Linked DNA regions of Drosophila melanogaster. The gene in region 1 interacts genetically with each later gene. Each region holds a gene or a part of one and is shown on either strand. Other genes may lie near its edges.

The links. Genes that interact genetically often act in the same process or in processes that back each other up.
Region 2: of MtnA (region 1) and Ctr1B, changing one suppresses a phenotype caused by changing the other (phenotypic suppression), as found in Drosophila melanogaster (one study listed by BioGRID).

What each region holds. Positions count from the first base shown.
Region 1 is NT_033777.3:9,780,898-9,788,167, reverse strand, and holds MtnA (metallothionein A), read left to right. Parts: upstream 1-3,797; 5' UTR 3,798-3,922; coding exon 3,923-3,944; intron 3,945-4,208; coding exon 4,209-4,309; 3' UTR 4,310-4,761; downstream 4,762-7,270. Other genes in the region: CG8500 (uncharacterized protein), read right to left, coding at 1,311-1,583, 1,720-1,791, 1,848-2,033, 2,091-2,261; CG12947 (uncharacterized protein), read right to left, coding at 5,411-5,628, 5,688-5,882, 5,941-6,471. UniProt on the Drosophila melanogaster protein: This protein binds cations of several transition elements. It is thought to be involved in detoxification processes.
Region 2 is NT_033777.3:8,315,858-8,321,786, forward strand, and holds Ctr1B (copper transporter 1B), read left to right. Parts: upstream 1-1,754; 5' UTR 1,755-1,879; coding exon 1,880-1,939; exon of another isoform or gene 1,940-2,149; intron 2,150-2,580; coding exon 2,581-3,045; 3' UTR 3,046-3,348; downstream 3,349-5,929. Other genes in the region: Coq2 (coenzyme Q biosynthesis protein 2), read right to left, coding at 1-533; Poxm (Pox meso), read right to left, coding at 3,953-5,055; Or85a (odorant receptor 85a), read left to right, coding at 5,890-5,929.

The DNA of each region.
Region 1 (7,270 bases):
AACTATTTAAATAACGAATACCACAATTGGGAACGGTCTGTGTTATGTTATACGTACGTACGATACATCCATCCATACATACATATAGATAGATAGGTAGGTGTTTTAAAAACAGGCAACTTATATCCCATCTACGCTACTGCAAAAAGTGCACCATATGCTCTTCAAATATCCTTCGATGTACGCGTTACTTGGCTCACACGATGAATGCGAATGCAATTGTACTTAAACGTGATTCTGACTTAGGCTAACTCTCTGACTGATCGATCTGGCTACTACTGAGAAAGTTCAAGCTGCTCAATAAAGTTCAGCAAATAAGTGTAAAATTGTACATACATATTTAATATAATACAAAAAACACAATGCCATTGCGAATTTCTTCTTTCATCTGTTTTACGGACTGTGGGCTGTCGGTGTTGTTGGCCTTGAGTATTTTATACATTAGCTTATATGGCGATCGGGGCGAATCGTCCGAATCGGTATTATTCTGGTTAGGTGGTAAATAGTTAAACAGCAATGATAGTCAGGGGGAGGCATCGGCCATTTTCGGCCAATTGCGGCCACTTCCGTTTCCGGTTGCCTCGCGATGCTCTCTATGTGGCGATCACGGAGAAGTCTTACGTTGATGGATCCATGTAAATATTTTGTTATCATATCGTAGTAGATACAGATTCTATGTCTTTAAGTAGGTACTTTGGCTTTCATTAGAGATATTAGTGTATAGCTTCGTTCGATTTCGTTTCGATATCTGGTTATGGAATGGCTGATGGATCATGCAGTATGTATGTAAGTATGTAAACATTTGATATGTATGCCGTTACGTTTCAGATGCGATTATGTGCAAACTTAGGGTTAGTTTCCGTGGTGTGTTTGGATTAGTATATATGTATATATGTATGCAGTACGTGGTATCGTGTCTCTGTGCGACTAGAAAGATCTGATCGGCTCGAATAGAATATATAACCTATGCAAAATATACTCGTAATCGTAATTGCAATCGTGGTGCGACTTATCCAGTCAGTTCCTAAATACAAGTGTCTCGTTATGCATGTAACTCTATATGTGGATAAAGTGGGGATTGTGTGTGGTATGTGGTATGGTGTAAGTGGTGTGTGCGGTGCGTGGTGTGGTGTGGTGTGGCGTGGCCCGTGTGGGTGGCTACCTAAGCCAGCAACCCCCCACCCAAGGGTGCTGCCCCAAGGCGAGTATTTGTCTGTCACCGTCGTCTCCGTTCACTTCAGCTCGACGCAATGTGACCCGGGTCACATGGCCATGCCATCTGGCCATCTGGCTCTTTGGCCATCCGATGCTTACATAACGCGACACTTCTCCTTGGCCCCGCCGCTGGCGCTGGCCCCCGCATCGCCGTTCTCCGGTATCGAGCCGTTCGTGTCCTTGGACTTCTTCTCCTTCTTCTGCTTCTTCTGCTTCTTGGTGTCCAGTTGCAGGGAGACGGTGCGCGTCTTCTCCATGTTGAGCAGCTCCTGAAACAGCTCGGTCACATTGTGGTTCGTCTTGGCCGACGTCTCCATGAACGATATGCTCCAGGTGGTCGCCTGGGCCTGACCCTCCGCTTGGGAGACCTGTGGATGGCACATTTGGATTAGAGGTTTTCTTAAAGAGATGATTTTTCTGTTTAAAATCCCCCTTGAAGATTGTAACTTAGATCTTAGATTAAGCATGTATGTATATGACGGATCAGATGGAACATCCTCTAACCTCTCGCAACTCGGCGGTCTCATCACACTTGTTGCCCACCAACATTACGGGTATGTTGGGAATGTCGGCGCCCTGTGGACACACAACGTATTAGTACATGAGAAATGATTGTCAGGCAGTGGACCAACCTTCAGCTCCTTGATAAGCGCCCAGATGGGTCGCAGCTCCTCCAGACTCTGCTTGGAGCACACCGAGTAGACCAGGATGAAGGCGTGCCCCTTCGAGATGGACAGCCTCTGCATAGCCGGGAATTGATGCGATCCCGTGGTGTCCGTGATTTGCAGCGTGCAGATGTTCTTGTTGCAGCTTATGACCTGTGCGAAGACCAGCGGATTATGTGAGTAATCTCTAGCACCAGGCGTCCCACCCACCTGTCTGTACGTATCCTCGATTGTTGGGATGTAGCTTTCGCGGAACGTGCCCTTTATGAAGCGCAGCACCAGTGAGCTCTTGCCCACGCCGCCGGCTCCAAAAACCACCACGCGGTAATCGTTGCTCTGCTCCGGTGCAGCGCGCGTCACCTGATTCTTCTGCTCCGTCATCCCGGTTACCGATACGGATTCGAGTGGGTCGAACGCGGTCGCGTATATCAAACTCGGAGTGGAAATCGGAATAGAGAGAAGCAGGAGCTGAAGCTTGTTGGCTTGCTGTCGGGCGCTGGTGGAATGTTCTACTTGGGCGCCATGCTTTCGTTTATCTGCAACAATTAAGAGCAAATCAGCTTGGCCACAACGCCCACGCACGCACAACCTTTCCGGTTCGCCAGTTGGTGGATGTGGGTGGTAGGGACGTGATGGGCGTGGGCGTGGGTGGCACTACCACTTTAGGGTCCCGCAACAAAAACAAAATGCGAAAGAAAGTTAACTTCCGAAAGCCGATGGTGATATACACTAGTAGGCATGTTAACACACTTTATTAGTTGAATTGGTTTTAAAATGTATATTCCTTTACACTAAAAAACTCTAAGAACCTTTTAAATTGATAATGAGTTGATTATATTATATATGATTCTATTATATAAACCCGCATAACTCCTTGGTTGACTTACAACTTCCTTATCAAAGTTGATAGAACTCCTTTTTAATAGTATATTTAATAACGGCAAACAATGTGTGTGAGAGTATCCCGCTAATTTTAGACATGTGGCAAGGAAGGGTATTGATTTTTCGCTCCACTGGCACTGATCGGCACCAGCCTCTCCTCATCATTATCGCCACGATTATGATTGCCCATGACCGGGTGCGGTATAAATAGGCCTGCTTTGAAGACAAGTGTCCCATTCGGAACGGTTTTCTATCCCATCCGCCCCCAAACACACACACACACACACAATACACACTAGCCGTAACTGCTCACTTCCGCTTGATTGTCCTGGTGGACCCGTGTGACACCTTTGGCCCGCCCCCTTCAACCGACTCGCCTTGCGATTTTCCGACGTTTTGTTTTCCCGCACACTCGTTGTTTTGTATGTGTTTTTTTTTCCACCTCGTACACCTCACGCGCTTTGCTCTTGGATTTTCCTCGCTTTATTTTGGCTTGGATTTATCGATTTTATCTGCACTGCACTTGCCACCCACACGCGAGAATCGAGGGAAAAGCCAGTAATGGCCACCGCATCCATATACCCGTTAATTGGGATGGCCCCAAAGGATCTGTGGGAGTCCCAACTATTGCGTAGCAGTATTTACTTGCATTTCGTTGCACTGGAATTCGTTGCAGGACAGGATGTGGTGCCCGATGTGACTAGCTCTTTGCTGCAGGCCGTCCTATCCTCTGGTTCCGATAAGAGACCCAGAACTCCGGCCCCCCACCGCCCACCGCCACCCCCATACATATGTGGTACGCAAGTAAGAGTGCCTGCGCATGCCCCATGTGCCCCACCAAGAGCTTTGCATCCCATACAAGTCCCCAAAGTGGAGAACCGAACCAATTCTTCGCGGGCAGAACAAAAGCTTCTGCACACGTCTCCACTCGAATTTGGAGCCGGCCGGCGTGTGCAAAAGAGGTGAATCGAACGAAAGACCCGTGTGTAAAGCCGCGTTTCCAAAATGTATAAAACCGAGAGCATCTGGCCAATGTGCATCAGTTGTGGTCAGCAGCAAAATCAAGTGAATCATCTCAGTGCAACTAAAGGCCTAAATAGCCCATACCTACCTTTTTTGTAAACAAGTGAACAAGTTCGAGGAAATACAACTCAATCAAGATGCCTTGCCCATGCGGAAGCGGTAAGTTCGCAGTCTGGTGTGATCCTTTAGGATATCACAGATCTTTCAGAGAAATGGTATTATACTAGTATAAAAATTCAATGGTGATTCAATAGTATAAAAATTCAAGCTGAAACTATCTGCAAAGTGAAATCTCTGAGTTCGTCTCTCTAAGAAAAGAAGTTCTTCAACTGCGTTTTATAAAATGGAACACTAATGTTATATGGCTTATGGATTACAGGATGTACCAGCATGTACTAATTTTTAAATTCTACTTCTTTCCAGGATGCAAATGCGCCAGCCAGGCCACCAAGGGATCCTGCAACTGCGGATCTGACTGCAAGTGCGGCGGCGACAAGAAATCCGCCTGCGGCTGCTCCGAGTGAGCTTTCCCCCAAAAAAGATCTGGAGTAGAGGCGCTGCATCTTGTCTCTCTACACACCCTGCAATAAATGTCCAATTAAAGTAATTGATGCCTAACTGCGTCTTTTCGGGTTGCATAATCAATTGGTCTGCGGCATTCTAGGTTAGATTCGCTTTTATTGGAGGTAGCTTCTAGCTACGTGGTCGGCAATATGCGTCGTGGAAATGGGATGGTCAAGTGTTTTCCACAATGTGCATATACATATGTACATAACACTAAAGTCAGTTGAGCAATATGGTAATCTGAGATGCCTCACTTCTGAAGCGACTGAGGGATTGAGTTTCAAAGCACAGCGGCTTGAACTCATGACTTGTAGATAAAAATACAGTTGCGGGCGTTAGAATATAGCCGCTATCGAATGGATAATATTAAAGAATACTAGCTTTAGAAATAATAAAAATATATTACCCTATCAAATTTAAAACGATTTTAGGCATAACAACGAAATGGGTAATGAAAGTTCATATTTAAATCGGCTTCCATTATTTTATAGGTGATTCATAGAAATATATGATTGTAGACTTATTATTGCTCAGTCTGTTTTGTGAAATGCCTCGTTTATAGCGCAAAAGTGCCATATAGTTTTAGATGTAATATGATCGCGCAATTAACATGAAAGTGTAAGAACCCGGCATATAAACGATATACCAACGAAATAAGTCAAGAACAAGAACCCCACGGCAGTCGGGTGAAGTGACCTAGGAGGCGTAGGGTTACGGGAGACCTCCACCTCAGACCTCCAGTGGAAAAGCCGCAGATGGAGTTTATGGTTCGTATACATACATATATACTTTATTTACTTTGCTAGCCTACGAATGCAGCTTAGGTCTAATACTAGGCTAGGTGAACAATACTTAATGGAGAATTACGAATGGATGGGGTGCGCAGTATACAAAGGTGCATACATATGTATGTCTATGAATGGTATGGGTGTGGGCATATCTTCTTTTTGGTTATCAGCGTGGCCAAACAAACCCGGGCGAGATTTCACGGCGGTTTCGAAATGGTTCTGTCGAAGGTGCTCGACGCACGTTGAAAAATAGTGGGAAATTCACGGTTCGCCCTACTTGATAACGATATTCTGTGCCAGTCGCTTCACGAAGTCCACGTTGAGAAAGTTGGCCATCAGTGTGAGCACGGACTTCTTGGGCGGCCGGCAGTGGCGCAGTCCCGCCTCCTGGCAGCACACATTCGGAAAGCAATCCAAGGTGGAGGTGCACGCCTTGGGATGAAGGTCAAAGATGGGCGGCGGCGGGGCTGTGCACTCCAGGTACTCTGTAACTGGAAAAGCGCAAGGCTTCGATTGATTTCGGTTATCATACGGAAAACTTTTAACTTACGATAGTCGAAGGATCGCTTCACTGGCACTGGAGCTGTTTCCAACTCCGGCTGCGAGGTGCGGCAGTATCTCCTACGCCCATCCGGGCAACAGACCCTTGGCCAGCAGTCCATGTCTGTGGAGCACTCCTGGACGTCCCACCAGAGCTCGGCGAGCGGTCTACTCGGGCACTTGCGAGGTATCAAGCCCAGAATGGCTAGCAAGAGCAATAAATTGAATAATATCTATAGCAGCTAAGGATTAAACCCACTTACGAGCATGTGGAGTCTCCTCTAGCGGCTTTGGAACGCCAGAGACACAGCTGCTTGCTCCAAAGATATCACAGCACAGCTCATCCCGTTGCCACACGGCACAGTCTCGATCCGCCTTGCAGATCTTGGGGAATAGCTGGAACCTCACCTCGTTCTCCCGCGGACAATCGAACCTCAAGCGCAGCTCGGCAGCCGACCTCTTGCCCTTCTCCGTTTCCCTATCCCTGTTCTTATCCTGGTTGTCGCGTGGGAAGTTCAAGGTGGGCAGTGCAATGCGAAAGGGTCCATCTGTAGTGGGTTTTTGTGTGCTAGTTGTTGTTGCGCTTCGACTAGTTGTACTCGTTCTCTGATCCATCGGTTTCCTAGTGGTCTTGGCCACTTTTCGTTGGCCGGACTTTTCGTCCTTGGGACTAAACTTTTTCGGCGGATGGGCCTGCTTGGTGGGCGGACGCACTGCCACCAGACTCTGCTGGCCGAAACTCCAGAAGTTCCGATTAAAGAAGTTGAAGCCGTTGGCCAGGCTGGGACGCGGAGCTGGGGATTGGATGTGGAAAGCGGGTTTACCAGTGTGCTTAATGACCATTAGTGTTTCTGCTCCAAATAGCAGACATTACACGTCAAGTAAAGCGCAGTTCCCGCCGCTCATGAAGAGCGTTTGATTTGGCTTTTTTGTTTTTTTTTTTTGTTTTATACTTCTGTTTCGTTATTAAGCCAGGCCAACAATGGATCAGCAATAGCGCAGCCTGTTGGCAAACGTTTCCCACCCACTCCATGCGCTCCATAGACCCAACGCAATTGTCTACTTGGCTGCTTGCAACAGCAGGTGGACGCAAGTGAATCACCCGCGAAAACGGCCATACTACCCAGATCATTACTCCCTATGTTAACGAGATCTTCTTCGAGAGCAATTTGATGGTATATACTTAAAATTTCCAGCTCATAAAAGTAGCTAATGGAGAAGTAGCTTAAATTTAATTTAATTTTAGACCCTCCCCGACCGAAAATGGGGTGGAATTCTATAGCCGAGTGATCATGATCACGATCATGCAAATTGGCAAAGGCCTAGGCCCCAATAATTCGTGGCCTTGCATACGCCTCTCCAGTTCGGACTTAGCCAAGGTCTCCTGATGCAGCCGAAGCCGATTCGAAAGCTCCGGTGCTCCAGTTACCTATGCACCTATGGCTAACTACGTTAACGAATCCCAAACGGGTATATCTGGTTTTATTCACAATTTGTCAGAATAATGAAACCTGTGAATCCAAGGCGAAACTATTTATCTGCAGTTTTGCAATTAATCTTGCATTTACTTTTGATTGTCCAAGTAGCTTAATG
Region 2 (5,929 bases), 1.5 Mb from region 1:
AAAAGACCCAGACTGAGCTGCGCCGAGAGGAATACTATGGCATCGAACTGACTGATCTGACCCGAGGCCAAGGGCCGCAACCTCGTGCGCTCCACTTTGGCATCGATGTCCTTGTCCCAGAGATCGTTGATGGTGCACCCGGCGCCGCGCATTATCAGTGCCCCGGTGCCGAACAGACCCAGCATGGTGAGGTCCGGCCAGCAGCCCGCATCCGCGCTGAGCGCTATGCTCCAGGCGCAAGGCCAGAAAAGGAGGTAGGTGCCAATAGGCCGGTCGATTCGCATTAGTTGGGCATAGGGTTTGGCGGCCGACACGAGTTCCTGCAGCGGCGTTTGCTGCTTCACGGGCTCAGTGGCGGTACTCGAACTCCTGGAGCATACATCCTGCAGCCGGGACTTATCCCAAGTGCTCCAATCTCCAATCAGAACACGCGCTGGTTGCCGGGGCAGCATGTGTTTTGTTGTTGCCGCCGCTGCATAAGAGCTGCGGAAGTGCCTAGCGCTCTGGAGTCGCAGGTGTCGAAGCGCATACATTGCGATTTGCCTTGCACTAGCACCTTCAACGATTAAAGCATTAAGTCACACGATGTTAAGTTGTATTTGTTCGTAAACTCACAGTCAAAAAATGGCAAGATGTTTAATGGAACTTTGGTTGGGAATGTCAAAGGGCTGCCATCCGGGTAAAGGCAGACAAAGAGTTGCCGGATAGATGAAAAAACAATATGATCCGGTGGCACTGCTGCATTTGGCGATAAAAATTTGAATTTAAGTTTCAAAGACAAATATATTAAAGTTGTAAACAACTTGTGTTAATTGTTAACTTTTGAGTTGTGTTTCACCAAAGTCATATTTATATATCTAAACACAGAAGAACATATGCGGAATGTAGTTCTTCGTTTTACCAATACTAATAACTAAAGCTTCTTTACAGTTATCTCCACCTAAGCAGTTTAGCAAAAGCTTTTGCTCTCTTTTTTGCGTAGACCCAACCATTTACCCCTCTGCAATATCGTTAATGTTTTGCGCACGTCGCCCATTTTTCGAAATTGGCACACGGCGCAGGAATGTCCGTAGAATTTATGCACACGGCCGCAGAAGGTTTGCGCACGGCCATCAATTTTGGCGGCATTCTATCCCAGTTAGAAATAGCACAGTAAGAAATAACACTCTAGGAAAGCCAAGTGGACTAAGGCAGACCTCCGGCGATCCGGCGGCCGACGGTTGCTATCGCTCCCATGCCGGAATATGGGCATATACCTACGTATGAATGTACTCGACTAGAGCCATAAAACCGTGATCGAAGCGAAGAAATAATGGAATTATTTCAACATCATGTATTACAGCAACAATTTCAGGGGGTTGTATTAGCCCATGATTGATAATCTGAATTGCAATAAATTCTGCACACGAATCGATTGTCGAACCTTTGCCATGAGTCCATAAATTAAGCTGCAAACCGCAGAGAAACCCACGACGCATCAATTATGGATTTTATCTCTCGAGATAAAGATCTGCAACTGATACCCAGAATATATCTTTTGATCTGACCTCTAACACTGAGATCTGCATGCATTTATGTTTATTTACATGACTGTATCTGGGCTGCCTTTCTTAGTGTGGGGCGACTATCGTTGGTATCGCCGCTACTGGGTGATAACGCTCTTTCCCATTGCCCATAGATAAGCGCACTTTCCTATCGCCGCGTCGGGGGATTAGGTGCGATTTTCTTTAAAAAACCACTCGCGAGCAGCGGGTTTCAAGCAGTCAACGCTCTGCTCTCAGCACCTCAGCAGGTCTAGCTCTTATCACTGTGCCTCCCCGATCGCCAGTCGGATTTTCCACGCCTTCTATCTATATCTATACTACACCAGCAGCCCAAGATGGATCACGGCTCGGATGACAGCACCAGCACGGCCAAGTCCTGCCCTATGATCATGGTGGTGAGTACGCAGTTACACAACTCCTGTGTCCAACAATTTTGATACAAAATCACTTACCACTGCGCTAAACGCTGTAATTTAAAAGTCACTCATCCAGTTTAGCTGAATGAGATTTGCACGGAGAGCAAACAAATATCTCGTCCGACTTGGAATTTGAATTCTCTGGCTAGTCACTCCCTAGTATAAGTTCGTATAAGTATGTTTATGTGCCAGAAACCACAACGAATTATTCGCTCTCTAGCGCTTTATTCGCTCTCAGCAAATACAAATAATACAAATTGAATATGCTCGAACAGGGTGTCTCATGAATAAAGATTCATGGGTTAAATTATACCGCTGTAAGGGAATTATAAAAAAGATGTTTAATTCGAATGTTATGTTTATGTTGATGTTTAATTGGAAAGCTTAAGCTTGATATTTTATAAAACTAAAAGTAATATTAAACTTTTGTATTAAGGATCATCTTAGCAAAAGTGACCATATAGATATACCTAGATATTAGATATCTAGGAATCTAGATATAGATACGAATTAGAAAGTTATTAAGTGGTAATTAGTGGTAGTTAACTGGTATTTAAGCCTCATCTTACTGATCTTATGGATTCTTATGTAGTTAATCTTTCACTCTCGCATCCTTTCAGTTCCACGCTGGACACTGCGAGCGAATTTTGTGGCGCGGATGGGTGGCGTCCACTGTGACGGAGTTCGTGCTCTCCGCCCTGGCCATCTTCCTGGTGTCCTTCCTGTATGAGGCGCTCAAGTTCCTGCGACAGCAACTGGCGCGCAGGGAAGCCCGTCGAGCAAGCGAGCAGCTGGCGGCGGAGCAGCGTAGGAAGAACGAGGCTCCGGCAGCCGGAGGATGCTGCTCGGAAGCTCCCCTGGCGGAGCCGAGGGAGCAGACCTACTGGCAGCGCTTGTTCGCCTCGTCGCACATCGTCCAGTCCCTGCTGAACCTGCTGCAGATCGTCATCTCGTACCTGCTGATGCTGATCTTCATGACCTTCAACTACTGGCTGTGCCTGGCAGTGATCCTGGGACTGGGTCTGGGCTACTTCTTCTTCGGCTGGAACAAGAAGAATCCCGACGAGAGCGAGTGCTGTCCTTAGATCAAGAATATCGCTCTTAATTGTTTATATATCTTGCAATTGTTATAAACTAAGCCCTTATCAGTTCTTGGTTCACACATCAAAGAAAAAGTCCCGTCCCCACGTAATTATACAAATTGTTTAAAAATACAATTTTATTCGATAGTTACACTTGGTTTAATTGTTATTGATGTAATCGTAGCATAAATTAGTCAACTAGTTTACTTAATGAGCATATTGTACAAATAGTGTAGTCATGAGAACAAGAACCTATACAACGCGTATTCATCTAAAGCGATTAAAGTACTACTCAATACTTTTGACTTTACAATATGTTTTTATAAGCAATACACTTTATTTTTGACCACCCCGAACTCAAAACGCAAACAATCCGATATGAGACAAAAAAGAAGGCAAAGTTAAATCTCCAGGATTACATGAAATTCGTTATGAAATGCGAACATTACCAGGTCTGAGTCCTGACAGCCCACAACTCACATTTGAAGGCCTAACTAATCACGATACTCACCTATCACACAATAGTACATATTTTAGTTTAGTTAAGATCTTGAAAAATCTTTTTAACAAATATTTTAGCTGTGATACATCTGGGCAGGTAATATAACTAAGCAAACCTTATGATTATGTGAATCATCTCGCACACATTTTTTTACGACACTTTATCTATTTGTACTTGCCTAACCACACACCAGTATTTGCAAGCTTCTTAGTTAAAGTTTAAATTATTTTGAAATTTCCGGGATAATTATAAGTTCTTTTAGTGCATTTGTTTAAAATTTGAGTGACAAGTGAGCGCCATGATGAGACCATTCCCTAACTAGCTCTTAGACTAGAGTAACCTAGACTGAACAACCGCGATCGAAAGTAGCTAGACCCGCAACCAATCCGCTGATTATAGACCACCCAATCATAAGCCCGTGGCTCCAGCGGCCATCATTCCGCCGTGATGATGGTGGTGATGCATTCCGCCGTTCTGGAAGTACATGTAGTAGTTGTACGGCGACTGCTGTCCCGCCCCACCCTCGCAGTCGAGCAGTGGCTGACCACCGGCCGTTCCCGCCACCGGCGAAGGAGTCATCGGCAGCGGGGATACCGTACTGCCCATGCCGCCCATTCCACCCACTCCGACGCCCACTTGGCAACTGGCGCGCAGGGCAACAGCCTGATGGTGGGCCAGGATATCGCTGACCGAGTGGGAGGAGGGCCAGTGGGCGGCAGCGGCTGCGGCGGCCACACTCCTCAGCTGGTGGGGATGGGGCACTGATCCCTGACCGCCCGCTCCCTGCGGCGGGGATGGACTTCCACAGGGCGTCTTCATGCTGTAGGCCGCCGCAGCACTGTACGGCTGGTAGATGGAGTTGTACAGGTGGGCGTGGGCATGGGCGTGGGCGTGCACATGATGGGCACTTGCCGCCGCCGCCGCTGACTGATGATGATGATGGTGGTGCGGATGGTGCGGTCCACCGCCGGGATTACCCAGATTGCTCAGATTAATATTATTGCTGGCACTCGTGCCATTGTTTTGTCCACCATTGCTGGACACACTGCCGCCACCGCTGCTGCTTCCGCTGCCCATCACCGTTCCCGGCGTGTGCTGATGCCCCAGGCTGCCCAACTTGTTGCGCAGGATTCTCGATATGGAGCTCACACTGGGTACATTCGTTTTGTCGCATATGCCCTCGCTGAGCAAACGGTCCCGGATTTCCCACGCAAAGATGCCGGGATCTCGCTGCTTCAGTTCCCTGATGTAGTTGACCACCTTGGGTGTGGTCACGCGCGGCTTGGATCCCCCAATTGCGCCGGGTAGTATGGAGCCCGTTTCGTGGTACCTGGCCAGGATCTTGGACACGCAGCCGTGACTCACTCGCAGCTGGCGCGATATGTCGCAGGGTCGGATGCCCAGGCGGGCCAGCTCCACGATCCGCATCCTGGTCGCATTGGGCAGCGGACGGCCGTTGACAAAGACGCCGCCCAGCTGGTTCACCTCGCCATACTGCGGACACTGCGACTCTGCAAAGAGAAGATTGCGGATTAGTTAGGTTGGTAACATAAAGGAATAAAGGAAGTGTCTATACATTTTAACATAAATATGAAAAACTGTTTTCGGAAACTGTTCATATGCCAGAGTATGCCACAGTATCATCCGAAAGCTATTCCCGGTTCCCAGTACAAAATGCGAACAAAGAGCGTTGCCTGGGAATGGGAAGGCGAACAAAAGCACATTTGCGTCTAATTAGTTTCGGTGGCAAATGAGTGAGCCGAGTGGCTAGGAGTGGGACCTGCAGAAGCGGTGGAGCGGCGGAGCGGAGGAGGATTGGCGAGCGGCAGCCCAAGTTGAGTGGAGAGCCGTTTGTTCGGCTGAAAATCGCTACCATTTGCTTCTTAGAACTGCGGATGTGGGTGCCCCGATTGTGACTGGGAAAACACAATTTGAATGCCCGGAACGTGCGGAAATGCACTTTGAGCGATGACGCAAAGATTTCCCCTTGGCGCATAGAACACTACTTAAGGATAGGTGCACATGGGTGTATCCTATTCTTGAGATTGAAGAATGATTAAGGTTCAGCAGAGAAGCTATTTTCACAGGACCATAAATAAAGTAATTAACAACCACTCCTGCGAAAGGGACAATATGGGAACAATTGTCAATTATTTAAGACATGAAGACACACCCCTCAAAACAACCTGTGCAATTTTGCACGCAAATAAAGGCGGTTCTTTTCGTGAATAACTAACTAGCATTGGACAATTAAACAACGCGTATAAATGCAACTAGTTTAGGGTACTGCCCTCAGTCTTCAGGTGACAAAGTTCAAGTCAATCGAAACCTCTAAACTTTCAAAAATGATTTTTAAGTACATTCAAGAGCCAGTCCTTGGATCCT